Linked DNA regions of Oreochromis niloticus. The protein of the gene in region 3 binds, or shares a complex with, the protein of the main gene of each other region. Links are inferred from orthologs where the notes say so. Each region holds a gene or a part of one and is shown on either strand. Other genes may lie near its edges.

What was found.
Region 1: ruvbl2 (region 3) and histone acetyltransferase KAT5 share a complex: the UniProt entries of both Homo sapiens proteins name them as parts of the SWR1-like complex. The link is inferred for Oreochromis niloticus from reciprocal best matches to the Homo sapiens genes RUVBL2 and KAT5.
Region 2: ruvbl2 (region 3) and enhancer of polycomb homolog 1 share a complex: the UniProt entries of both Homo sapiens proteins name them as parts of the nuA4-related complex. The link is inferred for Oreochromis niloticus from reciprocal best matches to the Homo sapiens genes RUVBL2 and EPC1.
Region 4: ruvbl2 (region 3) and meaf6 share a complex: the UniProt entries of both Homo sapiens proteins name them as parts of the nuA4 histone acetyltransferase complex. The link is inferred for Oreochromis niloticus from reciprocal best matches to the Homo sapiens genes RUVBL2 and MEAF6.

The regions. Positions count from the first base shown.
Region 1 is NC_031975.2:11,844,847-11,851,733, reverse strand, and holds the start of histone acetyltransferase KAT5, read right to left. Parts: upstream 3,023-6,887; 5' UTR 2,914-3,022; coding exon 2,884-2,913; intron 2,804-2,883; coding exon 2,737-2,803; intron 2,032-2,736; coding exon 1,963-2,031; intron 1,640-1,962; coding exon 1,501-1,639; coding exon of another isoform or gene 1,463-1,500; intron 913-1,462; coding exon 840-912; coding exon of another isoform or gene 834-839; intron 306-833; coding exon 147-305; intron 50-146; coding exon of another isoform or gene 47-49; coding exon 1-46. UniProt on the Homo sapiens protein: Catalytic subunit of the NuA4 histone acetyltransferase complex, a multiprotein complex involved in transcriptional activation of select genes principally by acetylation of nucleosomal histones H2A and H4.
Region 2 is NC_031974.2:10,910,513-10,918,350, forward strand, and holds the start of enhancer of polycomb homolog 1, read left to right. Parts: upstream 1-4,837; 5' UTR 4,838-5,174; coding exon 5,175-5,327; intron 5,328-7,838. UniProt on the Homo sapiens protein: Component of the NuA4 histone acetyltransferase (HAT) complex, a multiprotein complex involved in transcriptional activation of select genes principally by acetylation of nucleosomal histones H4 and H2A.
Region 3 is NC_031975.2:1,309,784-1,317,064, reverse strand, and holds the start of ruvbl2 (ruvB-like 2), read left to right. Parts: upstream 1-4,280; 5' UTR 4,281-4,420; intron 4,421-4,864; exon of another isoform or gene 4,865-4,972; intron 4,973-5,169; coding exon 5,170-5,224; intron 5,225-5,361; coding exon 5,362-5,417; intron 5,418-5,534; coding exon 5,535-5,676; intron 5,677-5,851; coding exon 5,852-5,981; intron 5,982-6,065; coding exon 6,066-6,132; intron 6,133-7,149; coding exon 7,150-7,256; intron 7,257-7,281. Other genes in the region: ftr83 (finTRIM family, member 83), read left to right, coding at 342-410, 1,433-1,959. UniProt on the Homo sapiens protein: Possesses single-stranded DNA-stimulated ATPase and ATP-dependent DNA helicase (5' to 3') activity; hexamerization is thought to be critical for ATP hydrolysis and adjacent subunits in the ring-like structure contribute to the ATPase activity.
Region 4 is NC_031985.2:13,858,234-13,865,605, reverse strand, and holds the start of meaf6 (chromatin modification-related protein MEAF6), read right to left. Parts: upstream 3,007-7,372; 5' UTR 2,957-3,006; coding exon 2,867-2,956; exon of another isoform or gene 2,866-2,866; intron 2,208-2,865; coding exon 2,092-2,207; intron 1,722-2,091; coding exon 1,634-1,721; intron 1,545-1,633; coding exon 1,499-1,544; intron 1,403-1,498; coding exon 1,210-1,402; intron 1-1,209. Other genes in the region: stpg1 (O(6)-methylguanine-induced apoptosis 2), read left to right, coding at 3,244-3,312, 3,406-3,507, 4,079-4,249, 4,337-4,445, 4,526-4,694, 4,777-4,967, 5,631-5,737.

The DNA.
Region 1 (6,887 bases), about 11 Mb from region 3:
TTTTCCTCCCAGGTGGAGCAGGGATGAGTCGTCGGGCGTTGCCATTCTGCTGTGAGTAGGACATTAAAAGATATTCATTAGCAAATAGGAGAAAAGAAAAAAAAAAAAAAAAACACAGAGAGAGAATTTAAGAGGATTTTCTTTACCGTTGTGAGCTCATGGTCTTCACGGGACTTAAAGGTGGGCGTCTCTCTCACGGCAGGAAAAACAGCTGCCTGAGTGGCTTCAGCTGAACTTGGGAGGGAGGGCACAGGGGTGACCGGGGGTACCTGAGGAGCCACAGGGGCAGGCTCTACTTTCCTCTTCTGCAGCAAACAAACAGTGTTAGACATTCAGCTTTAAGATCGAATACAAACAAACCAAACAAAGGCGAATTTGATGGGATTTTTTTTTTCATGTCAACTTGATCAGAGGCTTGATTAAAAGCAGGGGACTCCATTTGTATTCAATGAAGAGTGACATCTTGATATCAAGATGCTTTTTCAGCAGTTTGTATGCAGACAGAACTAAGACTGTGCATCTTTAATAGCCACAGCAAATCAATTTATTTCTCCAAATCTCAGATAATTTGCAGGTTAACCAATGTAAATACACCCCATTAAACCTGGTATTAAATGTGATGGCAACAGATGGGCTTCACTTCCTATTATAAATCTTCATTTGGATACACTCTATATTAAACGTCTTTCAGATGTGACTTACTTTACCTTATAGCTCTGCATAGCTTTATATTCCCATGCAGGGCAACATTAACAGTGGGGCCATCACACAAGAATCACATTGACACCAGGTTTAAAAAGATCTCAGTAATTTGTGGAGTGGGTGAATTCTACTTGTACCGGAGTGGGGAGGGTTTTGCCTCTGGAAGGAGCTGTGGCAGTTTGTACGTTGAGATCTAGACTCTTCCTCTGAATTGAACGGAAAGGAAGAGAAGGAAGCGGGTTAACACTGGCATAATTCATGTTAACCCTCAGGTTAATTCTGAGGAATTCAATTCACACAAAATCGAACTAAAGGTTTAGTCATAAAAAGAGCGTTTCACCATTTCAGTGGCATGTGTTTGATTTAAAATTAGACACAAAGAAGTATTAACACAGAAATGTAAGACTGAAAAAAGAGGATATTGATATTTTGTTAAAAACAGGGTCCTCTATAACATGATGCCCTTTTATTTATCTATATTTTTATTGTTATTATGGCTGCATTTCCTGTGGGTAGACTGTTACAAATCACTGCTCAAGCAGCATAAAGCACACTGCAGCTTATTAAAGTGACCATGGAAAGCAGCGCTTATACCATGCATCAATGGAAGTGAACAGCAACAAATATGAAATTTACCATCATGCAGGTTTTTCTATAAAATGAATAAAAACCACACAACACAGAAATTAAGACTGACGTCATTTCTTAACACTGTGAGAATCATAATTACATTGCTTTAAATCACACGTGGACTCCTTACCACTTCTCTCTCTCTCTCTCTCTCTCTCTCTCTCTCTCTCTCTCCCTCCCTCCGGAGAACTAGGACGGGAACCTGAAAGACCATTCTTGGTTGGTGTTTTAGCATCTTTCTTGGGGAACTGAAGCTTCTTCATGTCCAGCCTTTCTGTTGTGACCCACTCATCCAGACGTTTGTTGACTTAAATACACAGACAAAGAGAGAGAGTGGTGATTTGATGTGTGAAGTTATTTAGCTTATAGCATGACAGGAAACGGTGGGTGAAAAAATAAATAAATCAAAAGCTATGTGGTACAAAGCTATAATTTTGAATTGATCCAAATATGACAAAAAAAAAAAATCAATGAACTACTAGATAAATAAAAATCTGCTTTGCAATTTTAGATAACAACTTAATAAACAAACCTTAAAAGGTGTAATTAGCTTTGATGTATGTTTACTAAACTGGGGCTGTGAATCAAATCTTGAGAAAAACCAAGACGACTGACACAAAATATACTCACAGTCAATGTAGTGAACATAGTAGAGCTTTCTCCCAGAAACTTCCTTCACACTCAGGATTTCAGCCAGTGCTGTACAAAGCAGAGATGTCACATTTTATCTGAACTGTACTCAAATGAAGACAATCGTTGTGATGCTTTTCTATGAAACACTGGAGCTTTAACACACTTAACATTAAATACACAGGCATGTGATATGTGATAAAAGTTACTGTTTAGATTTCAATGCTAAAAATAAACCAAAGGTGCATAAAATCTACTTTAATGGGAGATTTTAAATGTCCTAAAATGTAATTATTTATGCTGAGGTATCAGGATTATAAAGTCTAAGTGCGATGCCCAATTAAATTTGGTTTAAATACCACCTGTGCTTTAATTTCGTTAATTTCTTTCTTTATTTTTGCCTAAATGTGTTAAAAAGGAGTGTTAGATTACTATGGACCAAACTGAGTGCCAAGAGAGTAAGAGAGATAACCTGATAAATTCGCTCTCAAATTTGTAAACATCACTGATGCCACCTGCATTTAGTACTTTTTTTTTTTCTACAAAACGTGAAACTAAGTCAAATTTAAGAGTTGGCAATTTAATTTCCGAGAGAGTGGCAGCAGCTTTCTTAAGTCTTCAAATTTAATTCATTCACACTTTACAGCTGCATGCACCATCTGTGGCCATGGTGTTTACAGCGCTTTAACTGGAGGCCGTGGCTTCTGGTAACAACAGCTGAGCTGAGCTCCTTAGCATTAGCTTAGCATTGAAAGAAAAACGGACAATACTTACGCCATTCGTCTTCGTGTTCTTGGTTTTTACGAAGAACCGGGAGGCGACAGCCCTCCACAATCTCGACCTGTAAATAACAACACGTTAATTTATACTCTGAAACCGGTCAATGTGCCTATATTAACATTATATCTTTCTTAAGCCTACCGACGATGAGTTGTCCGCCATTTTCGTCATCTGTGCGAGCAGGAGCGGGGTGTTGTGGGAAAATGCCGGTCTACAACAAAGATGAAATATACGGCAAGATGAAACTTCCAGAAGGAGCCGCGGAAAACCAACCCGGAAGCTAAGCGGGGGGGATTTTGCTTATGTTTCTGTGTCGATTCCCTTGGCATAAAAGTGTGAAAAACTAAAGGTAAAATGAATTAAAAAAAAAAAAACCTTTATTTTTTGTAAAGTAACTGAAAACAGTTGGGAAGTTTTCTCCCCCTCATTTCTGAGTTATTTTCTCAGAAGTTTGTGAGTCAAAGTTTTGAGATGATAACCTATAATTTGGACTAATGGACAGCTATTTATTTCTTTATTAGTGGAAAAAGAAAACTACTATAAGAATCATAGCATCTACCAAAAAGCTAACCAAAAAAACCACAATTTTTTAATAGTTAGTTTTTGTCAATTTGATTACATTTTGTCAACAAAACTGGCATGAACCAGTATGTCTACTGATACTGGAGTATCATTATGACTGGAAGCCACATGTCTGTATCAGAACATTGTACTGATCTTAAATAATCATGCAGGTACTAATTAAAACAGTAGTATGCAAACTGTGGAATCTAACTTAAACTAAACTGAACTGAAAACAATAACGTGTTCAGCTTCCTTGATTATTTAATTTTTATTATTATTTTTATTTATTTTATTCAACTGCTGTTTGTACTGTTTTGAATTCATTAAATCAAATCAAATCACTTTTATTGTCACATCACATGTTCTGGTACACTGGTACAGCACATGTGAGTGAAATTCTTGTTAACCAAGTATGATTTGTTTATATAGCATTACTTTGTCAAAAAAGAAGTGACCCCTTTTTTGATTACTAAGATCTCGTCCCTGTAATTAGAAGTTTTACCATCTACTGAAAACTACGGTCTCTCATCATAAAGTAACCTTGCGTGGCATGCTCAGTTATGTGGTCAGCTTTGTGGAGGTCCACATTAGCAACCTGAGGCACATCTTTGCACTTACTGCCTGGTAAGGCACAGTCCAGTGAAGCTAATGCAACCTCCACCATTCTTTTCTAATGAACTTCTAGAGCCACATCTGCATTTCATTAAATGCTACAAATGACTGTATCCTTAATCAGGGCCTACAGATCTGCAGGTAGCTGTGTAAGAGTTTATCATGAGGTGTTTTTGAACATCATCTTCACTGTGTGGTGATAGGGAAGACTCAGAGAGCCCTCCAAGCATTGAAACACCAGCTGCACTTTACAGAGCTCTAACAGCAGAGAGCTGTGTTATCATTCTCCGTCTTTATCTTTCAAGGCCGTGTAGTTCATTAAATAAAGCTTCAGTGGGAGTTGAAGAATATTAATGCTGTGCCTCTACCACTTTTATGTGTTTTATTTATATATCATTGCAGGTAAGAGGTCATGGGATATCGGGCCTGCTGGGATCGCCAAGCCTACCTAATGAGTTTCATCTCTGACCAGTTTATCAAACAGTGAAACACATTAGAATTTCACACTAGCATTTACCTTCAATGACCCCATTATTGTGAGTACAGTCGTGAAGTCTAACTTGCCTTGCTTGTTCGGTTTGCTGGATTTTAGGTGAGCAAAGTAGCAGGCAGGCAGCTCCTTTACTAGCTATAGTGCTGCCTTGTTGGCCAGCGAGTGCGCTGATTTGTCTCAAGGTGCTAACGCAGAGCCTTATCATCTTCAAGTTATTAAAGTCCGTTCTAAGGCTGTGCAACACTCTCAAAGAACTTTATGTTTTCGGTGTAACCTCCCTCTCACCCGGTCAAAGCTGGGACAGGATCCAGCCCCGCTACAACTCTGAACTGGATAAGCAAAAGAAAATGAAGGAATATCTTCTCTCTTCATGCTTATTCATGTATTTTTTCCCTATTTTAAAAAAAATGAGAGTCGATTAAGTCTGAAATCTAGCTTCCTATTCAGCCCCAACTAAATATTTTCCCAGTGAATGTGGAAAAAGAGCGTTTACGTTGAAGCTGCTTTTCTTTTGTCACCTTCTGCTGAGATGAGGAATGTAATTTATGACTGAACTGCTTCACCACTCTGGATAAACCCATTATGTACATCTGTGGAAACACTTCAGTCCCTCTCATCCTGCTACATTGTGCCCGTCTGCAATTACTGCCCTCCGAGTCAACAGGACTGGGGAGCTTCGGAGCTATAAAATGTGCAATAAAATGTGGAAATCATTTTCTGGTTCTTCCTGATGTGTCCTACACGCCCCTCAGCTTTATGATTTATGTTTTAAAGCACACCTGCCATTCTTACCAGGGCTAGTAGCCCCAGCTAGAGTGTATTTGAAAAAGCTGTTTCAAGAGGTTTTCGTATCAATACATGGCACGAAACAGCAGCCAAGCTACTACTGGGTTACCTAAATGCCTCTAATGTAAATTTAAAGCTAAGAGAGTATTGTGAAAATGCTCATGATGAGTGTACTCCTGAGCACTGGAAAGAATCACAAATAATTAAGTGTTTGCTACTCATCAGTGTATAAATATGGTTATGGAAAAAGTATCAGCGATCAGTGTCCGATCAAATCATCTCACAAAGAAAGGGTAAAGGTTATAAATGATCTTTATTATAATCCTCGGAACAGCGTTCAGTATACAGAACTTGCATTTTTTTAAAATCAGAAATTAAACTCTAAGCCATAAATCAGATAAAACAACTACCTCTAATCCCATCACACATTTTTAATCAGACAGTCCAAGCTTTCTGTAGGGATAGCCTGCATATTACTCTTTACCATGCGAGTGCACAATAAGCCTGGTGGCTTCTTATGAGCAAACGGATGAAGCTGTGAAATGATTTAACAAAGTGATAAAGAGCAAACAGTGTGACGTCAACATGCGCTCAAGTGACCTTGCATCCTGCAAATTCACTTCCATAGCTACTTCATAACGCTTACACATATCTCACATCTTCCCATACCTCATTTATAATCAGCTAATCAGGGATGCTACCAGACAAACTGAGTGTACCACAGACTTCGTTAATGTGTCCGCAGAGGACTTATTTTGGTTAGAAAATTAACGGGAACATTGGACACTGCATGTACATTCTGGGGGAGAAGAAGGGAGACTTGTTTTCGTCTTTGGTACCGCGGGGCTTAACATCTAAGCCCCAAACTCCCCCAGACTGTTCAATGACTTGATGACTGTCCGTTGGTTGTCGTTGGAGTTGCAGTTAAGTTTCTGCTTCCAGTTTAGAGAAACTTAAAACACATCTCATCTGTTTTTGTAGGAAAATTGAGTTTAAACACCTTTTTTTCATTCCATGCATTTTTCTATAATTATCCTGATATTAGAATAAATTTTATGATCCCGCTTTGGTCCTTCAGGTTAAATCACTCTGACAATCCATTTCCCTACATTAGCTTTTGTCACTGAACACAAGCAACGAAAGTACAACAACGACAAAAAAAGCTCTGATTTCAGCATCACATTTCATGTAATTGGTCTCACAGAGTTGCCTTTGTGTGGTTATTGCACATAATAGAACCGGTAAGAAGAACATAAACCTTATAAACTGCAGGAGGTTTCGTAAACATCACGATGTGAACTATTGCTATTAATGACAGCCATCTCTGTGCGTGTGCTGAACAGCGAAGCAGATCAGTGATTAGTGATCCGCTCTCCAATCCAGCTGCTTCCCAAAGAGACTGTGAACCTCTTTAGCTACATAATGACATATTTGGCTCTCTGTTCAGTATCCCTGCCTTCTTCCATCCAAGACGTCTCGTACAGTCACCTCTTTTCACTCCTGATCGTGTCATCTTTAAGCCGCACTAGTGACGCACACGTGACTCCAGATGTTCTAAAAGAAATGCTCACTGGAGAGCGGAGGATTTGCATCTCCTCAAACGTGGCGGGACAGATATGTTTGGATGAGGAAATCAAACCACTGTCCCATACTCTGAAATTTAATATCTCATAAATTTCACTCCTAAGAT
Region 2 (7,838 bases), on a different chromosome or scaffold from region 3:
ATGACTCCATATGCTTCCACTATACTATGCAGCATTCTCTTTGGACTGTGTCTGATCATGAAAAATGTGCAGTGCAGATATCAGAGCATCAGAAAAGGAAGGAAGAAGGAAGCAGGAGCAGCCCTGCCCTGCGACAAAACTAGTGGAGGGGCAGAGGGCGGTGGAGGGAGGTGACCAGCCCAGGAGACAGTTATGTAACAAATACTGCAGCTATGTTATGAAAAAAATGTATCTGATTATTTGCTGTTCAGTAAGTGGCTCTAATAAGTTTTGCCCTTTGACTCCGTCTGTGTTTAAAAGCCTATTTGAATCCTATTATTTGCACACTACCGTAATAAATTCGCATTAATGCATGACAACATTTTTCCTATTATTATTATTATTGTTACTTCTGTTGTTGTTATTCGTGGGTGGGCGGGGTTACTAGTGAGCTCATCCTCCCCGAGTTCTCCACAGGTGATTGGTGGCTTTCACCGTCCAATCACAATCCGCCTGTAAAGTGGTTTGGTGGTCACTTTGGATCGGGTTTTTTTTTTTTTTTGGGTCGAAGTAACCTAAGCTAACTAACCAAGTTTTTCGTCAGCGACAGGACATCTCCTCCTTTACCCTTGCTTTGGCTTCCAGTGACCTCTCTTTTTGCATTAACGGCACTTGCAGACATATAAAAAGAAACTGAATATCCTTCTGTTTTTTTTCCTCTGAGGCGTCCTAGAAGAGAGCTAACAAGCGTTAGCATTAGGCTAGCATGACAGCCAGAAGAACAACTGCCACCATCACCATCCTCCTCCTCCTCCACTGTGGGTTTGCTGGCATCGGGTAAGTTGCGAGTCAAGCTCAAGCTAGTTTTCCCCGTGTTGTATCCGTGGGAAGCGAAAGTTGTGGCTTTAAAGTCACTTGCGAGCTCAAATGAAACTGTTGGTGGGCTGTCCGCAAACTGTTAGCTGGCTGGTAAATGGCGCAGGGTCAGGGTAACTGGGCTAAGCTAGCGTTAAGCTAGCATCTATATCGCTGTTCTTTGTGCAAGCAGCTGTGTGGTCTTGAGAACTGAACGAATTAAAAAGCCCTCGAAAACTCATTTTTCCGGGGTCGAAGCGGTGCCCAATTGCTTGTCATTTGCTAAAACGATACCTTACAGTTTTTTTGCTGTCGTGTCCTGCTCTGTTTACCCCTCTGTTCCACCATATATGGCTTACTCTACTGTGTACTCTATTGCAGGAGCAAAACTTGCTCTGTGTGCTTCAAAACAGTCCAGAGCCAATGGATATGGGAAAATTCATCCGTACAAACGTTTACTTGGCAGCGTTAGTGTATACGTAGGTAGCAGATGTAGAAATTGTCGAGGTTTTCTCCAATGTAAACATGCACACAGAGTTAAAGTGTCCTATAGAGAAAATAATCTCACAGCAGATGCTGAGATGTCTTCTGGGCTTAGAAATGATATTTGTTTCCAGTAATAACTTCCAGTAATAATGATGTTTATAAGCACTTCTTTTTTTGACTCATTTTGTTTCACAGGCCTCCATTATGGTCTACAGATGTGAGCCTATGTCTCCCAAATGGATGATGATTATTGTGACCGAAATCTTCGCCTGGATCTTGTTTTCATCGCCACAAAAATTTTCACCCATTTCTTCAGGTTATTTGCATTTCTTCTTATTTTCAGTGATTTTGACGAAGACTGTAAGGGGAGGGTAGTTGGTTTCCATGGTTTTCTTCCACTTACCCAATTCAGGGTCGTAGTAGGGCTGGGGCCTATTCCAGTTGTCAATGGGCAAGAGGTGGGGTACAACTCTGGCCAGGGCTAACACAAAGAGACATAGATTCACATTTATGATGAATTTAGAATCACCGCTTAATCTAACATCGATTTCGCTAGTAGCAGGTCTGAGATTTATGGATTGAAGGCCTTGGTGAGGACTGGCAGTGGCCCCAGGTCAGACAGATCCTTGTGTACTAATGAGGGGTGTGAGAACTGGGAAAAGTGGGGAGGAGGGTGAGGCATAAAAATAAGAACAAACAAGCTGCAGTGCAGGAATGATCAAGGAAATCAAGGAAATGGAACAAGCCAATGTAGCTGTAGAGAGAAACCAGGCATGTACAGGGAAAACATGCAAACTTCACACAAAAAGGCCCTAGCAGGTCTGTGCATTCAACCCCATCCACTGTGCCTCCTCCTAATATCTGTATTAATCCTGTAGTTTTTAATGAAAACTGTAAGCTTCCCATTTTGTATTCCTCAATATTGTGCCTATTCATTATAGTATATGTAGGGACTCTGTGGTGTAGAGGTTTTACAGAGTTGGTTAACAGCCTTATCTTTAGCTTTATAAAGTGAAGAAATCGAAATCGCTCCAAACACCAGCCTCTCAGATGCTTCTGTCAATATCGGATTGGCAAAGCTCTGCTTTCCAGCATCCTGAGCAGATTTTATCTATTAGCTTAGTTTACTGATGGGTCAGTAAGGCAGCAAAGGATCAGGCTGGTTTGCTTTATGCAGAGCGGTGAATGCATCACGCACAGGATAGAAAAGAAAACACAGTATAGTTTGGAGCTTGTCTAAGTAAGAGTTCATATTCAGTTTCTGTATTGAGTCTTCGTGTATAATAGTACATGTTTGCATGCCGAGAAATCAGCTTGGAGCAGTAATATTAAAAGTAACAAGTGCTGTGTTCATAAAGCCAGAAATATCCTTATTCAGGCTGCCTACTTTCTAGATCAAATATAAAAATGGAAAACAAGAATTCATGCAGCTAATGGCTTAAAGGTCAAGAATGAAGAAGCTATTGCATTTAATTACTGTTCCATTAAATGAAACGGACCAGCAAATGTGCTGTGATAAACATTTGCTGAAATGAACAAATTTGGAAGTTGGTGGCTTCCCTGATTTCTTTTAGCTCGCTGACAATGATGCACCAATGAAAGTGAGAAATGTGTCATCTAACATTTGGTCAGATGTAAACTACATCTCAGAAGGACCAGTCAGGGTGGTAGGTTTACTTTTCTGCAGCATTTCCTGTACTGGCAACCAACAATGAGAAGATGAAGCTTTGCTGAGATGAAACTACAGTTAATCACAGCAAATTGACACTTAACAAATTAAAGCATTATATGCACCAGTGTACTTTTGTTTCTGTTGCCAAAAAAAGGCATGAAACATTGTTGTGGTTAAAACGGCATGTATGTACTCATTAGAAAGAGTTATTGCAGCACTCTAGGGTACTTCTTATTCTTCCTGGCCAGGCACCAAAAAGATGATGCACATTGTCAAATATGAAATACACAGTAAGGGTCACTTAGTAAAGTAATGCACTTGAAAAATGACTTAAATAAGGGCGCTTCCTGGATTCAGATGTTTTTCTATATTGGGATGTAATCACTTTGTTAGGTAGACCTTTTCATTAGTAGTAACTCAATGCATGTAGGTATGTAAACATGGCCAATGCAACCTACTGAAGTTCAAACTGAGCATCAGAATGGGGAAAGAAAGATGGTTTAAGTAGCTTTGAACCTGGGATTGTTGATGCCAGATGGCCTGGTCTGAGTATTTCAGAAACTGCTGATGTACTGGGATTTTTCCACACACAACCATCTCTAGGGTTTCAGAAAATGTTCACAAAAGAGAAAATATCCAGGGAGCAGCAGTGCGTTTTGTGACAATACCTTGTTGATGTCAGAGGTCTGAGGAGAATGGCCATACTGCTTTAAGCTAATGGGCAAGGTAAAAGTAACTCAAATACCCAGTGGTTACACAGAGCATCTGTGAATGAACAACACGGTGAACCTTAAAGCAGATGATCCACAGCTCAGAAGACTACACTGACTGTAACTCTTGTCAGCTAAGAACAAAAAACCGAGCCTGCAGTTTGCAAGTACTCACCATAATTGGAAAGTAGAAGTTTGGAAAAATGTTGCCAGGTTTGAGTCTTCATTTTCTGATGTGACATTTGGAAGGGTCACAAGTTGTTGTAAACTACATAAAAGTGTGGATCCATACTGCTTTTTATTAATGGATCAGGATGATGTTGTGTGGGATATTTTCTTTGGGCCCCTTAGTAGTAACTGAACTAACCTGGTACTGACCATATTTATCCCATTATGACCAGTGTGCCCAGGGTGCACTGCTCTTCATTTTTGTTTGTTTAAAGAGAACACTACATAAAATAACACAAATAAGGCCAGAATACATATTTGTTTATTGCTCAACCTAAACCAGTTTTGTTCCTGTTGTTCACCTTCTAGATCATTTTATATATATTCTGTAGTATTTGGGCGTAACGTTGCTACTGTGATGACGACACATCGGACTACTTCCTGGCTCTGACCATGTTAATACGTTTTGTGCATTCGCATGAACACAAGACAGTCCAGTTATAATTAAAACTGTAGTGTTTGCACCACAGGGTGGCGATATTTGCAAAACAATTCACTAATTGATACAGCATGTTCTGGTTGTTCATAATAATTTAAACACACGATACAAGTTTGAAGAATTGCGTCCTTGCTGTGCTAGAAAACACCCGTGAAACCTCAGAGTTACGGTGGTGTGTCAGTCGTTAATACGATCTGTCTATATGTGGCGGCATAATGAATGCGTTACGTCCTTTTTACGTTTTTTTTTTTTTAAAATATCTATATATACTTTTTTTTTTTTAAAAAGATGTAAAATATATATATTTTTATACGTCAGCATCAGCCTGTCGTATAACAGGATGAGAACATCCCGAGCCTAGTAAGTTCACATCCCATCATCAGCATCCAGCGTTTTTGCCCCCGCTGTCGATTCAGCCCCTCCTTCCTCCCTTTTCTCGTACCCCAAGGGTCTCGCGAGCGCGCACGCGTGCGAAACTGCGTGGGAATGGCTGTTTGTGTGATCGAGGGGGTTGGGCCGCTTGGAGCGAGCGGTGAGCTGCATGAGTTTGTAATGTCCGCCATGTTGGCAATGGCGTATTGAACCGGGGAGGAACAGCGGTGCCTACGAGAGAAAGAGACCGACAGAGAGCGATCGAGACCCGGGCCTGCCCGGCTCTGTTCGCGCTGCTACGGACCCAAGCCCGCCCTCAATCGACCGGCTGACTCTCAGAGACCGTCACAGATTCATCCATGAGAACTCGAGGCAGACCTGCTGTTATTCCTAGCAGATCGAATAGATTTATGCTGCATCTTTTATTATAAAAATGAGTAAATTGTCGTTTCGGGCACGGGCACTGGATGCTAGTAAGCCCCTGCCCGTCTTCCGCTGCGAGGATTTGCCGGACCTGCACGAATATGCCTCAATCAACCGGGCAGTACCGCAGATGCCAACGGGGATGGAAAAAGAGGAGGAATCGGTATGTTATTTTATTGCCGCCCGACTGGCGGTGGATCTTTGGCGGCATTTTCATAGCGCGAGGCGCCGCTATGTTGCCTGCGCAAGCTTGTGCAAAATGGCCGCCATATTTTCTCTTTCGTGCGCACGATGGAGCTCGATGAAAACTGAATTTTACTAAGCCGTTTCACCACGAGTGGTTGTATAAGGTTGCAATACTGTGATATTTTATTGGCAAGCCGTGTTGTGTCCGTTTATTTCCTTTTAAGCAGTACCTGAATGCACAAAGAAGTCACGTGACCTCTATCTGTGCCACCATTTTGTTGACTTTCTCGTTGGTAAAGGCGAGCGGGATAGGCCTTGGACGTGGTGTACTTTTCGTTAGCAAATGCCAGGGGGAGACACTGAGCCTTCAGCCCCGGTTGACAGCTAGGCGCCTCGTGTTGACAGCCACAGCCCTGCCATGTGTGCTGCCTGTTTCGCGGAGAATGCGGAGTTTAAAAAAATAAATCCCAGAGCTCTGCTTTCTGATTAATAACTGCACACCTCTTCACATATACGTGGTGCAATGGCTGTAAAATGTGTTACGACATGCATGGTGTAGCCATGACTGTGCTATTCCTGGGGAAGTTTCATTCATGTAGTGCAGCACGAGGATGTAGTCTTCATTTCTGGAGCCATATTCCAAGTATCTTATTGGTTAGAAGCGTCGATGGCAAGAATACGGTGACGATAGAAAAGTTCAGTTATGTTCCTGAAAATTGGGCTTAGCATAAATTACTCTTATGAAAGTGCCTTATTGCAACTACTTATTTATTACTTGAATTTCCTTCATAATTGCATGAGTTTGGCCCACCGAGATATGCCTGTACTGTGGTGTTAGTCTGATTTTTGTTTTTTAACACTGTAGTATATTGTTCTGCTTTTACTCACGTGTTTTGAGATAACACATATTCAAATTATATCCAAATAGACATTTTTGCATTTGAATGAAGACTGATTAGGCTATGTTTTGATCACAAAGCCTTTCATTTAGAGTTTATACCTGAAATGAAAGCTGTTTTTCTGATTGTAGACAAAGTTTAAGTTGCTCATGCATTACCTGCTCATCTGGTCGGCTCCACTGAATTTTTCTCATTCACTTTTGTACACCCCCTGAGATGCCTCAGCAGACACAAACATGATCCACAGATGGGATGTAAAGCAAGTTGAAATCCTGCTTTCATACCTTCCTCAACTTACTGTGCACATACACAGCAGAAATTACATAACAGTGTGACAGAAGAGATAAAGAGGACAGTTTTACTACAAGCCTGTGCGTGGCTTAGCTCCCTGACCCACATCCTGTCCAGCAACAGTGGGGTGTTGTTGCACTGACTAAATACCCAAATGTTGGCTGAGAATTATGTTGTTCTAACTTACCAGCAGGCACAGTTTGTGAGTGTTTGTTGCGTCACAATGCATATGCATGACTTTGTCTCTTTAATTCAGAATTTTAGCTTGCAAGTGTAACCAGAATCTAAAGCAGGTGGAAGTTTTTGTTGTTGCTGTTATAGTATAATCAAGGGATTAACTTCATCAGCAGTTAAACCTTCAAACCTCTGGTGAGCAATTAACTTCTGAAACAATCTGTTTTTGTAATGCAACAGGACATCTTTGCTTGCACCATGTCCTGCATAGTGTAAATAGTTTGTGTGTTCCAGTGGCCGTTACCTTTACACTCACACTGAATTGTTCCATAACGTCTGGGGAAGTTAAAAGGTAAATCTGTAAGCCACGTTTTTGACTACAAAATTAAAATGCTTTAGAGATGGACTTTGTCCCTGTGATGCCACAATTTATTATTCACAATACATCAGCCAGTAAATCCTCCTGTCTTTAATTATAATTTACAGAATTGCCTCAATCTTTTATTTAGTATGACGCTAAGTCAGCAGGAAATGGTTTACTGATGGAGGGGAAGGGAGTTGAGGCTAGTTTTTTCCATCTGTAACAGTAGACAGCCTTATTCACCTAGAGAAGTCGCCCCCTGCTGGCTGTGAGGTATCCACTTTTCAGTCCTGGAAGCTACATCTATCCTTCACACTGTTTACAGTCATGATTTCTCTTTGTGTGTATTTATTAACACACAAAGTATTGAACAGTTTGTTTAATCGACTAACTGTCTTTGAGTGATTTCTAAAATTTTCACTAATTTCTGGTAGTGTTACTAAAATGTGTGGCACAGTGAAATTGGATGCTACTGTGCAAACAGGAGAAACATGTAAAGCCAAACAAAACACAGCCACCAAAATGCTCCGTGTGGATCTCCTTCAGAAAAACCAAATGGACAAAAATTATGTCTGGTGCACACTACGTCCATAAAACTACCATATTACAGCTCGACTATAGGGTCATTTGACAAGTATTAGGTATGGGCATGTGTTAAGTTAACCTTTGTTAAATGTGAAATGTTAATACTTTTGAGGGGGCTGGCATTCGTGACCACTTTAGCTTTAAATTGAAAGGACTTCTCCCTCCCCCATACTAATCG
Region 3 (7,281 bases):
ACTTAGTCAGTCCCTAAAGCCAGAAGATGTGGTACTGAGAAATGATGTTGAGTCATAATGCTCAGGTTTTTCATCATCTGGCCCCGTTTCCTCATTTCTTTCCATTCTCCTGTTAGATTGCCCCTGAGCTCACTCGCTGCCTCACGCTGAAATGTTTACCTTGATCACAAATGTCAACCTAACAGGTTACACTCACCTCTAAAACAGAAGTGTTTGCCTGATCACTGATAGTGTGAACAGGAACATTACCTCCTGCACACATATTAGCTGTTCAGCTGCAGCACATTAAAAAACTGCTGACACACAGCTCTGTCTGATTTTCTGTGTGTTTCCTCTCACAGGTGACGAAGCTCCCATGTACAAGTCTATGCCAGTCAAGGAGCCTCAGTACAGGGAGGACTTCCTGAGATGTGAGTCTCCTCTGATCCACACAGTTCACTGTTCTCGCTGCTCAGTTCACTGCATGACGCAAATTAGATGGGTTCTCTGTCAGACCCTGTGGCTGACCACTAAATCTGCTCTTAGAAGCTGCTGTTTGTCCTACAGTGTTGACAGAGGTTGGGACTGATTCACTGCAAATATTGCACAGCTATGTCATTTTTACTTAAGCTGCATTTTAACCTCCTGCAACCCGAGCTCTCGTTTGGGATGCATTTTTAATTTCTCCAAATTTTCTTGAAGCTGATTAGTTTAAAAAAAAGAAGCATCGCTTTTGAATAGAAAGGGTTTTTTTTAATATATAAATATATTAAAAAGTATGTCCTCAATAGAGAGACAGTGGGTTTGTTTTCCAGCATAACACAATATAGTTTTATGGTCATTATTAACAGAGTATTAAACATTTATTGAGTAAGATGAAGTGTAAGTCTAAATGTAATGTCCCCATATGAGGACACAGAGTCTCAGGAGGTTAATCCAGCTTTCAACAGAAATCGTTGGGGGCTCAAAATCTCAGCAGGGGAAAAACTGCACAGTCACTGACTCGCCTCACAGCTAAAAAAGGTCTTTGCTAGCTGGAATTCTGTTTGTGGTCAAACTCACAAACAGTGTTTGATACCTCTGGCATTCCAGATCATAGGCCGGGCAGATCTAGCCGAGGGCATCGGGTGTCTCACCAACTGTGACCTGCAGAGGTGGAGATACACAGCAGTCAGGTGACTATTCTGATTTCTGTGTCCAGCCAGAGGGTCTCTTGCTTTTTCTTCAAAGCGTGTTTTGCAGAAGCTAATTAAACTTCTACCGCAGTGAGTAGAAGTTTAACTGAGATGTTGATGACGTTCTGCTGCTGCATTGGAGTGGGGTGCTTCAGCTGCTGTAGGACAGATGCTTTGGCTTTCTTTGCTTTCCTCTTTTACATTTATCCCAGAGTGATTTAAGTTAAGCACTTCCTCTTGTTGAGTAAATAATGAACTTATCTTCCACCCATCTTTAGATGCTTGCCAGCTCACCCTTGACCAAAACACAGCCTACAGACAGCTTTACTTGTCACGAGGGAACAGAAAAGCTGCCCTCAAGAGAGACCCCCAGTCCTACCCTGACAGCCCTGCCAGGTTCGACTCCCTGCCCCAGGTCTTGTGTAAGGAGCCCCTCTCTGGAGGCACCTACTACTGGGAGGTAGACTGGAGTGGGGAGGGGGCTTCCATCGGCATCGCCTACAAAGGCATCAAGAGAACGGGCTACGGTGACAGCTGCCGCATCGGCTACAACCGCAAGTCATGGAGCCTTTTCTGCTCTGATTCCAGTTACTCAGCCCGCCACAACAAGGACCAGCAAGAGGTCAACGCGCCCTACTCCTCCCGCATCGGCGTTTTCCTGGATCACGCCGGGGGTACTCTCTCATTCTACACTGTTGGGGAAACCATGTCTCTAATCCACCGCTTTAAGGCCTCCTTTAGTGAACCTGTCTATCCAGGCTTCTGGGTTTGGTATGAGTCAGCCATTACCATTATCCAGCTGTGATTAAGTAACACATATCCAAAGATCAGTGGGTGTGGATGACGAGTACTGTTGTGAGAAAATATGCTTTTGTTCCCCCCCCCCTTTTTTTTCTAATATTAGATCGTTGTTTTGTTTGCTATCCAATATGTGCTGATGGGGGAAACGATGCTTGATGAGCAAATATTCAGCAAATCAACATGTGTTCAGTGTAAAATTAGTTGTAGAAAGTCAATGAGCATTTACTAATTCAGAAATAATATAGTATATGCATATTTACACTATAATTCAAAATAATGAACCTTGTACAATGTGATGACCATTTGTGATATTATGCTTTTTTTTATCAAATAAACTTTTGGTAACAAGCATGAGCTGTGATGTGGATTTTTTTTCTCTCATTTCTTCTATGATGACGAGCTTCCTAACTCACTCTTCAAGCTAATCAGCTCTAAGCCAGATCTGTAAGATCTTTAAAAGTCAGACATTTCCTGCCATTAGCAACATCACTCAGAGTGCAATTATTTCATAAGCAAATGTAAAATAGACCCAGCTTTGCGTGTGGACTAGTAGGAGATGGTGTGTTTGTGTGTGCTTAAAGCACAGTGTTTTGGAAAGCAGCTGAGAGGTCAGCAGGGAACTCTACAGGAACAGGCGAGGTGTAACTGAGAGGTTTCTGTGACGCTTAAGGCTCGTTATGCTGAATGGAAGTATGACTGAGTCCTAATGTATCGTCAAGTTCTTCATTAAAAAGTTCTGAGTTAGTGTAGCGACTCAGGAGCTGCAAAATTTACTACTTGAGTTCTACTTGATCAGCGTAGATGATAAAACTGCATCCAATCCGAGGTTTGCCCTTTTACCATGCAGCAGTCGCTCTGCTGTGATGTTTAAATAAAGCGACTTCAGTTTGTGGAATCTTAAGCCTGGGCCTTGAGGTGAAGCTTGAGCGGTCTAGTGGAGAGGATATGAAAACCCCTCCAGAAACCTTAAGATTATAATCAGCAGGCAAGCTTTCCCATTGTTCAATAATACTGCAGTCTTGATTTTTTAAGCTTTTAAAATTACTTTTTGCAAATATGAAGCTCAGCTTGAGACAAAGATGACAATAAAAATCTCAAACTCATCTCCATAGTTTGGATTATAATATTTCTCAGTTTAAAAAATGAGAGAGGCTTTTATGCACAATAAGATGAATGAAGCGGAGCCTGTAGAAAGTTGAGGTTGGTGGTAGCAAACGTTTATCCGGCTTGCTGCGGTCATCAATACCACTCTGCAAAAACTTTGGCTTCAAATTTGAAATTCTTAAACCTTTAATACAACTCGGGGGTCTTGCCACCTCTGGTGGACAAACGTCTGCAGTACCAAGTTTGAGCAGGTTTTTTTTTTTTATCGTGGCTGGTGACTGAAGTGAAAGCTTCCGCTGTTAACGTGTGCAAACAGTAACTAAAACAGTGCAAAATGCTTCCTTGGCTGGTCCAGCTTACGTACAGTATGACATTGACATTTCTACATTCTACATTATACCAGTAAATATTAAAGATTTCCACGGACGGGCTATTTTGTTGCGAGAAGAAAAGGTAAAATGTGAAAAGGGAGTTAAAGGGAGCCTAGCACACAGTTTAACCACTCTGGACTGAAACGGGCTTCACGGATTAAAATGTCCAAAATATAATCCAGGACACCGGTAAATCTCCAAAAGTTGAATCTGTTCATCTGGACGTAGCGTTTGGTGGGAGAAACGTTTCGTCACTCATCCAAGTGACTTCTTCAGTCTCAGCTGACTGCAGGTTTCCCCAAACCTTATCAACAGTACATTTGCATAATGACTGAAACCAGCCCACTGAAGGAACAATGGGCTGTGAGGTCAGTTCCTTAATCATAATTGTGCAAATTCCCATGACCATTGATCAACAATCACTGACCAGAACCCACTGATCAAAGAACACTGATCAATGGCCATGAGTACCATTCACAGAGAGTTGGGGAATGGCTGCAATCACAGCATTGTAAGATGGCCAGTGATTGTTGATCAATGGTCATGGGAATTTGCACAATTATGATTAAGGAACTGACCTCACAGCCCATTGTTCCTTTAGTGGGCTGGGTTCAGTCATTATGCAAATGTACTGTTTATAAGGTTTGGGGAAACCTGCAGTCAGCTGAGACTGAAGAAGTCACTTGGATGAGTGACGAAACTTTTCTCCCACCAAACGCTACGTCCAGATGAACAGATTCAACTTTTGGAGATTTACTTTCCTGGATGATTGAGAATGCATCAAGACACCGGTAAGGTTTCCTGCCACTCCCTGTAAGTCACAAGCTCGTGCTGTCATTTTACCATCGAGCCCATAGAGGGCAGTCAACCCAAACATCCCCTAGCAGGAAAAAGAAATAAAAGAAGCGGTTTCTGTACGGACGCTTTTAATCTGCGCACAATCAGAAAGAAGCGCCGCATTCTCACATTTTCGTAAGTGTGGCTGCACAGGTGAGTGTTCATGCGATCAATATAAACAGTGCTAACTCCAGGCTTTCACACTGTGGTGTTACAGGATGTGTCCTGTAAGATCATCCTTTCGTGTTCTGTTGAACATCGCGTCTTCGTCTTGCTAAGCAGGAGTTACTCAAAGAAGAAAGCTTTGAATGGAGCTAGCTAATTTGCTAACATAACATTAGCTGGTGTTAGCATTACTTGTCACTGTCCTTGCTCTGTTTACTTGGCGCCAAACTAGATTTGTGGCTTTGGTGTACCACGTTATTAAATCTGTGTAATGGCGATACCCGAGCTTTCCGTTGCTTATATGAAAAAGTGAAAATACGAAGAATAAAAAGCCTTAGAAACTAGGCTAACGTAATGCTAACACTGTTCTTACTCTGTTGTGGCATGCGCTCAACTCTGTCACTATGACAACCACCTGACCAGGACGGGCTCTTTAAAGTGTTAATTGTTTGACAATCTAATGTTGTGGTAGTCTTATCACCAAAGTGTTTTGTTTTTTAACATTTATTTAATGGTGACTGGGTTGTATGTCGTTAAAACGTCAGTAGAAATATTTGAACCTCTTGCTGGATCGAATATTTTTTTTATTTATCTATTGTTTGACATTCTGACATAGAGTGGGATACTCTGAATACTCTGTCTAATAATGCATGTTTTTAAATTTAAAAGTAGTGGTAGGAAAGCGGGCAGGATCACTTTATAGTGACTAATGAATGATTTCTCTGCTTTTAATACAGATGGCAACTACAAAGGTTCCAGAGGTTCGTGACATCACACGAATCGAGAGAATTGGTAGGACTGAGACCCGGAAACACATGATTGGTTACTGTGTGATAGTGCTGTGATAGGTGCACATGGTACCTGATTCTTGAGAGTTTTTTCACTTCCTGTGACTCACATTATTTTATCTGTTTTCACCTTGTGTTTAGGTGCACATTCTCACATTCGTGGCCTTGGTTTGGATGATGCTTTGGAGCCAAGACAGGTAGCTTTAATTCCCTTTTCCTCTCTTTCTTAAGGGGCATGTAATAGATTTGTGACTTAAATATTCTGTGTCTGTGTAGAGGAGATGTGCCTTTTACATGTCTATGTTCAATTCCAGGTGTCTCAGGGGATGGTTGGCCAGCTGGCCTCCCGTCGAGCTGCAGGAGTCATCTTGGAGATGATCAAAGATGGCCACATTGCTGGCAGGGCAGTACTGATTGCTGGCCAGCCTGGCACAGGAAAGACTGCAATTGCTATGGGTAAGAGCTCCACTGGAAGCTTTCCAGAACATAATATCAGCCCCAGTTAGAAGATATTGGTTTCTTGGATTGATGGAATTGGCTTAGGGTACATTTTTGTTGCTCCTAGCTTGATTGGCAGAGTGTAGGTTTGGCTGAGACTTTGTTTTTGATTTTGGGGGGTTTTCCAATGCAGGCATCGCCCAGTCTCTTGGCCCTGATACACCCTTTACAGCACTGGCTGGTAGTGAGATCTTCTCCCTGGAGATGAGCAAGACTGAGGCACTTAGCCAAGCTTTTAGAAAAGCCATCGGAGTAAGGATCAAGTGAGTGAGCAAATGCTGTAATAGGGTTTGGTAAATCTTCTTATACGAAAAGAACTGCTATTAACTGTTTTTGTTTTTTAACAGAGAGGAGACGGAGATCATTGAAGGAGAGGTGGTCGAGATCCAGATTGACAGACCAGCCACAGGAACAGTAAGCAGCTTACACTCATAATATAGTTAACCCAGTCTTTTTATGTGGTTCTTTGGAAAGTATTTTATTGGTCACACTAGGGTTGGGCGATATGTAAAAATTTTCCAACCGACAATCGTCAGTCCAATAATCGACGATGGGCGACATATTCGTGCATGCGCAGACTTTTTGATGGGCGGAGCAATGTAATCATGCACGGACTGATTTGCACGTTTACAACACAGAAGAAGTCCAAACATGGACGAACTAATTTCCCAAAAATTAGGGCTGTGGCGTTAACGCGGTCATCACGATTAACGCGATTAAAAATTTTAACACGCTGAACCCATCGGGAGCGCAGAATGAACGAACTTTGGACAAACTGCTCAAAATGTGTTGACAGAGACATTTCAGGGATTTTGACTCAGTCTGCGCACTGATGGGTTACTTGTTAATCGCGTTAGTCGTGACGATGGCGCATTAACGCTGACAGCACTAAAAAAATATAAAGTTGCCAATTTGGGATTTTTAAGCCAGATGAAAGCAGCAAACCTGAGGATGTAACCAAAGCGGTGTGCGCTTGTGCAGACGTATAGTGCGAGCAAAGTACTCAAACACGGCTAACTTGCATGAGCATGTACGTGTCCACCGTCCAGCTGAGTATGCTAGGCTATCAGCAGCTTCTGCAGCTACATCATCAAGCATCTGGGCGCACTCTGAGGAGGGGGCGTTTGCTCGCAGATGAAAGAGGGTGCCGTTATCTTTTTTCTGTTGACTGCTTCTATTAGCTCCATCATTCTTAGCAAACTTACTCATGGGCGGGCAAATAAATAAATAAATCACCCGTGTGAAAACGATCGCCGATGGGCCGATGGGCTCAGCCTGTTGTCAATAATCGATATTTTCATCCAGTCGCCCAACCCGAGTGTCACAGACAGTATAGATTTCACATGTAGTTAAATGAACATGTAAACACTGTTGTAGATATAAAACACTGTACTTCATATAACTTACTGAGAATTTTGTGCCTTGGATCAGGGTGCAAAGGTGGGCAAGTTGACGCTAAAGACTACAGAGATGGAGACGATCTATGACTTGGGCAACAAGATGATTGACAGTTTGAGTAAAGAGAAGGTGCAAGCTGGGTAAGTTCAGTAGGTGATCTTGTTA
Region 4 (7,372 bases), on a different chromosome or scaffold from region 3:
GTCAACAAAAAACATGTCGACATGACACGTTAAACCTAATTTGTCTTAACAAACTTGTCATTTATTGACCCTCCGATAATCTCAGAATAACCAGGTTATTCTGAGATTGTAAAGCTTGGTGATGTGGACCAGAAATCTCTCAACATATTTTAGGCTGAATACCAAAACAATACCCTCCATTCTCTCTGAAAGCAGAAGCTCAAATGTCACAAACACTTCAATTAACCTGCTGTAAGACATCTGTTAAGTTGTCACAAAAAACAAAAACAAAAAAGGGAGCAATTTTATCTCGGAAAACATGTTATTCATCTACTGCTGCCTCAACTGGTTAGTCTGTGCTATATCGTGACTTTGGTTTTTTCTTTGCTTTATGATTGCTTTTGTCATGCATGGGAACACCAGCACACCCAAAATATCTTTTTTTGGCTTGTTGTGCACTAATTACGACCAACTCTCGTGTCTCCAGCACAGCTTGCGTGTACTCGGGCTGGATATGCAAGTGTACAAGCAGATCTGCAAGTGTCAGATAACAGAGGGAGATGCTGAAACAGGAGGAAAAAGTGATACGTTCAGTAAAAAACAAAACAAAAGACACACAAAAAAAACAATCGCATTCATTTCCCTGCTATTACTTTTTCCCCTTTTTGATTTTTTGTTTTTCCCTGAACTGTGACATCTGTCATCGAGGAAAAGACTACAGTGAGTGCTGAGGATCGCAAAGTGTGAATACTTCTTCTGTCCAGAAGAATGCTCCTTCATTCAACCATGAGAAAATTTAATAGTCTACTGGAAGAGAAAATACTCCTTTTATACTGGCCTGCCCCCAAAATACCTTTAAATAACCCCCACTGTGTACACACTCACACACAAAGGGAGCAAAAAAACAAGACAAGAGCTACTGGAATCCAAGTTGCAAACTTATTCTAGCCATACTAGATCACTTTTTGTGATCTCTCTGTGAACAACGCAATTCAATGAGCTCTCGCAGGTACAGGCAGTAAAATAAGAAATAGACTCCCTGGTGTCTCTGATTGAAGCCACGGGGGTTTAGTCACTAGTAGGAACTTTGATGTATACAGAAATTTTGTGCAAACATGTTCTGTAACGTGGCTTGCCAAGAGCAGTCTACATGAACGGCTATGGACAATCAAAAAATGGAAGGAGATTTTAACAGCATGCTGACCCCACCGTCATTCCTTTATTTAATACCTGTGTCTGTTTTTGTTCTTCCTCTTCTTGTGGCTCCCGTGGTGGCTGCCTGAGGAGGAGGAGGAAGCAGCCTTCTGAGGCTTCAGGTCCTGCAGCGTCGAGTCCACATCCTCCGTGTCTTCCTGGCTGGGCTCGTTTTCTTGGTTCTGGAGATCTGGAGAGGCATCGCTTTCTGTGCCGCTGCCTGCCTCACCTGAAGAAATCAAAACAACAGCATAAATGACACAAATTACCACCAGTCCACAAAATACAAACTTTTAATGCTGCTTAGCTCAAAAGCAAAACTCACGCTTTTCATTCATGTGATCTGGTATACCACCGAGTGCACAAACGGCCTGTAAAAATGTCACAGATTGAACAGTTTAGTAAGTGCTTTTTGTTATTATGCAGCATATCTGTTTAAAATAATAAGCAAAAGACTTACTGCAACTGATGTAACAGATGACTTGCTGAATAAACGCTCAGCTTCTTTGAATTTCCTATTCCGTCTATCAGTCTTACTATTGGAGTTCCTGTTAAATTAAAACAAGCAAACAAAAATGTAAAAAAAAATTAAACAATGGTTTGGTCCAAAAGTGGTTCCAAACGCCCACACTGGGAATAAGAAAAAATTGCGTATTTTAAATTATTTTAAGTTTTTCCTTATGAAAAGAAAAGAAAGTTCTTCAGACCCCCCCCCACCCAACTTTAACTTAAAAAAAAGTTGGACGTCCTGCTTCAACATCAACTAGATGTAGTTTTTTTTTTTCTTAATAATTTTACTGGAACTTGATTTCAGCCATCGGCTGTACTCTTCTTCCTCCTGCTGGCTTGTACGTAACTAATACAAGTCAATGGCTGACTTTTCATTTAGTGTAAATGCATTTCCACCAAGCTGCTTACTTTTGGTTGGTGAGGTATCTGTCCCATCCTCTGATGATGTTGCCATACATCTGGGTGTCTTCTAGGTAGCTGCCTTCAAATGCATATATTTGTCTTTCCAAGTTCACCAATGTCTCCTGTGACAGTGAAGAACGTGAAGGAAAAGAATAAATGTTAGATATCTGAGTTTTAGTCATTGTATTAATCAACCTGGCTGGTAAACTTTTAACAGACATTTATTTATAGACACACAAATTAGGATAATAAAATATGTCCCTTTTGAAGTGTTAATTATTCACTTGCATTTGCAGGAAGAATTCAGTGAGCGCGCAAAAGTGAAGATAGCGATGTCTGTCGCAATGCTGATTTATTCCTCATGCCAGAGAGGCAACAATATCACAGGTATCTGGCTGGATGTACACAATACACATGTGACACCAACTTATCGCGAGAACTTGGCCAAGCAGGGCGGCTGCTAAAATTTGGCTACGCTAAGCTGTTAGAATATTTTGTCAAAAGCGCTGCTGTAAAGTCGGTATACGTAAAAACACTTAAAAGAAATATTAAGAGAGCTGCATGGAGTCTTGTTACTACTAACACTACTCTTAATCAAACGTTATCAGCCAAACAACGCTGTCGACCCGCTAACTAAGTGAGCCGCTACCGCTAGCTCCGGCTAACATTAGTTTAGCATGTAGCGGGGCCTCGGCTAGCAGCGCGCACGAGAAAATTTCACGCGGTAAAATACTAAATGCGACGTTTATTTTATAACGAAACCACCTTAACGTCTACTTACGGCGAGTTCTTGTTTCCTCTTTACGAGCTCAGCGAGCTCCCGGCGAGTGTCCGGGATCTGCGGCGGAGTCGCCTTCGCATGCATCGCCATGACGGATAGCCGCTTAAAGTGGACACTAAACAGGGGAGACTAGGTACAATAAAGAAGCCCGCCTCCATTTCACCGACAGGTGGCGCTGGAGTCTCGCGATAGATCTGTTTTCACATCACCATAGCAACTGCTTTAAAATTCCAAGGACCTCGAATAGCGTCAGATGGCTTCGACTGAGTCCAAAGTGGAAATAGTTATAAATTCTTAAGCTGAAAACGTGACATAATGGTTTCTTTTATCTTGTAGCTAGTAAAAGATGTTCAATACAAGCTAAGTACCAAATAGCGATGACAACACATCAGGAAAAGAAGGGCTTTTCCACCCAGGCTAATAGGTTTGCTTCTCAAATTAGTCTGGTAGGAAGTTTAACTCCATCAAAATTCAAAGCATTTTAAAAGAATAATAATAACAGTGCCGCATAAATAACGTGTGTGGTCTTTGTGTGTCAGAGTGAAAGTCCAGGACCGGGAACCTACGACTGCTTTACCAGCACTGAAGTCAACAGTCCTTCCTTCTCAAAGAGAGGCACCACCGGCTTTTTCCCATCCAAGGTCAGGAGGTCCACTATGTATCATCTTGAAACGCCTTTGGGCATTTATTCTTGTTGATTATTTGTACGAGTCAAATCAGTTTTGTTTTGTTAAATCATACTTTTTGCCCCAATAGGGCTTTAAAAAAATCCTTACTTACCCTGTAAGTTATTTTCCCCCCAGCATCATTGCTAGTGGATTTTGTCTGTGTGCCTTTTTATGTATTGCCTGATCCAGGATGATTTTCTCCTATGGGAGACAATAAAGTTATCTTATCATTGTTAGATTGGTGTACACACCCTGCCATTCATCCTATGTTAACAGACTTCAGCTTCACTACAACCCTAATTTGAATAATCTGGCAGGAGATGGCAACCTTTAATGTCAAAGTATCCTTTTCTGAGCAATTTGTGACCAAAAAAAAAGTATGGAGCCACAAAACATCCTTGAGCCTTATAATGAAGATGACACAGAACTTAAAGTCAGTGTTAGTTATGGCTCCAGTACTCAGTTTACCTGATTACTTTTAGTCTAATAAATTTTAATCCCCTGCTGCTTTTAAATGTCTTCATCACTTCATCCTCTCTTCCAGGTTGACAGAAGGCCACAGAGACCCACTCCAGGCCCAAATGCATACAACCTACAGAGTTCCTTCATAAATAAATATGACTTCAACACTGGAGCCTCCAGGGTCTTCAGGCTGCCCATAGCTGTGCAGATGGATGGTCCCAAACATATAACTCCAGCTCCAAATCAGTATGATGTATGTGTGCTGATTATAAAAGCTGATTCAGGGTGTAATCTCTGAGATCCTGTTGTGTATTTTGTGTCATTTTTTCTTTCTGTACAGGTCAGTTGTGTGAGGAGAGTAAGCATCTCCTCAGTGGTTGGTACAGCGCCTTTCCTCTCAAGAACAACACGGGATTCATTTTGCCCAAACAAAAATGTGCCATCACCAGGTCTGCTTTGAAGTTTTGTCTCTTTTAGCCTCTTATTAAATTTGCACTTAAATTTTTAATTAAAAAAAAACTTCTAAAAGGCCACTACGAGGTGAACAGCAGCTTAATCCAGCATGGTTCAAAGGCGGTCTCGTCACCCTTCAGATCAAAAACTCACAGAATCCTTCCTCCGGCCGACCACCGTGTGCCGGGCCCGGGGGCCTACAACCCCCATCAGGCACCCACCCCAGTGAAGAAGACCATCCTTCCGTAAGTAACCATACAATGTTTAGGTTTTGCTACTTTTTTTTTTTATTATCTAAAGTTTATATCGTTTTATGTGTGTTTGAAGGAGAAGATATTTTTTGGCAATAGCAGCACCTCCTCAGACTGTACCTAAGGATCCTCCTTTGCCGGGCCCTGGGCACTATGACATAGGGCAGTATGACCGGCCATCAAAGCAGTCCATACCCACTGCTGCTTTTGCATCCAGAACTCAAAGAATACCCCAAAAACCGATGGCTGATAAGATCCCAGGACCAGGTAATAAGATAAATGAGGCAGTTTTCTCACATGCATTTGATCTCTGATTTACTGGGCCTTAAATAACACTGGTGCACATGGCAATATAGATATCCAGCACAGTCAGATCAGGCATTGGCCGTTCTGTAGTCTGAAAGCTCCTCGGTACAGTTATTGTGATATTGGATTGAATCTGCTGTATTTAACACGTTAGCTATCTTTCCTAGACCACATGCATTTTTTTTTTTAATCCAGCAAAACGGGTGCCCATTGAAACTTTTCTGTGTACACGGAGTGGCTGTTGTGTGGCCAACCATTTCCTAACAATAGTGATCATTCGGATAGTCTAATTTTATATTAAAAAGCTTTTTTATTTTTTTGTTGCAACATTTCAGTCAATATTTTCATTATGCATGGATACAGCATCTGTCCCGGGTTCAGTTTTTGTCTTTAACCTCATTGCTTAGCTCAGAACATTGCTGTAGTCTTCATGTATTATTGCATCTATTAAAAACATATTTCTGTACAGACAGGAAAGAAGCTTGAATGAGAACTTTCTTTTTCATTTGTTTAGGTTACATTCTACTTTTTGATGCTTGGTTCTTAAAAATGCGAAAGTCTGGTGAGAATTAATTTGCCTATAGTTTGCCTCACTTGCTCTCTTCTCTTTCCCCTCACTCACAGATGGTTTTGGCAGATGGTTCCCCCTTCCTGAACCGGGATCTACCAGAGGTTTCTTCCTGTTAAAAGGAAGCTTTTCCTCTCCACTGTCACCAAATGCTTCCTCATAGGGGGCTTGTGTGATTTTTGGTCTTTCTTTCTAATACTGTAGGAATCTTGTGTCCACTGTTGTGATTTGGTGTTACATAATTAAAATGGAATTGACTGAATCTGTTTGAAACAAGGCGTCTTTAATAAACTGGTGGTTTACACATTTGCCTAACTAGCTTTGATCCCAGGAGGAGATACAAAAAAAGATCTGCCAAACCAAACATGTGGAGCAATCCCTTATGAATAAAGGAGCAGCCAAAGTAGTTGTTATTGCATTCATGAAAGCATTAAGTAAAACTTTCTCTCTCCTTCCAGGTTTATATAATCCACAGCCCTTGTCAAAGCAGTCCTTCTTTTACAACGACTCCAGAGTCTGGGTTCCTGTGTGAAGCTTCCAGCTCAGACTGCACTGTAGATACGTACATCTTCACTCAGATGAACTGTGATTGTTGCTATTCTTTGATCGGCACTTTTAGAGTGAATAAGATGAAAATTAAATGTTTGCACCAATTTAGTCTCTAGTTCCGTGTTTATGTTGGCCAATCAGACCTTGGAATGTTTGGATGTTTTCGGAAATGAATCATAATTAGTATTTATCCACTGTGGTGGTGGTGGTGGTCAAATGCCAGAATTCTTGAAAAGCCATATGTTTTGTCCTTGTGGATTTGATGCTCTAAAGTGATATAGAAGAAAGTGTTGGCACAGTCCCCAGCAGCTGCCGGTCCAGCCAATGGTACGCCACAGTAACAGCTGAGAGCTCGAGATGACACCACTCTGCCAACTGCCAGAGGGCAGGCGGAGGGGTGGAGTGACTGTGTATGTGAGCAATGTGACTGACTGGGCATGAGGCAGGGTGGTGTTTAACCCAAAAGACAAATGGACGCATCACTCAGTCCCTGTATCACATGTTGCATTGGAGCTGAGTCTTTCACAATGTTTTAAAAAAATCAAATATTATTATTATGTTATTAATGCACATATGATTGTAAATGTTCTTTTTGTAAGGCCTTGTGCAGCTGTGGACCCAGATTCTCTTTTTACTTCATTTTTTTTAAATTTTCCAAGTCAGAAAACACAACATAAAGTTACACACGCCATCTTTTAAATGTTTTCTGTGGTTATTGTGATAAATGTGCCACTATAAACCATTTTGTCCACATTAATCATGGAGCAGGTCCTGAGCAGGAACAGCAGCTTTGTGGTTCAGATAAGTCGAAAGCTGCTGTAATCAGTATTTTGATAATAAAGCTCTACCTAATAACTACCTGAAGCAATATGATGCTTTGAAAGAAGGTAATTGTATGACAGCAATAAAGAAGAATTATCTTAATACCTCATATGTCGAGGTGATTTAAAATCTGTCTGACTAACCATTAATGATCTTGATCTCTGTTTCCTCATATAAGTGTTTAACTGTTACTCTGTATGATTACACTCACTTTTTTGTTACAGTGTTTAAAAATACAGTGTTTGCATCTGTGTGTAAACCTGTTGGCTTACAGATTCTGGCTGCAGTCACTAAGCTAAGCAAAGTAAAGACTTTTAAAATACTCTGTGATTCAAATGCCATTAAAACTCTGACTTTAAATTAATGACTGTTCCCCTTGAAAAAAATATGTGTCGGGGAGTTAAATGTCCAGATATTTCACGATGCG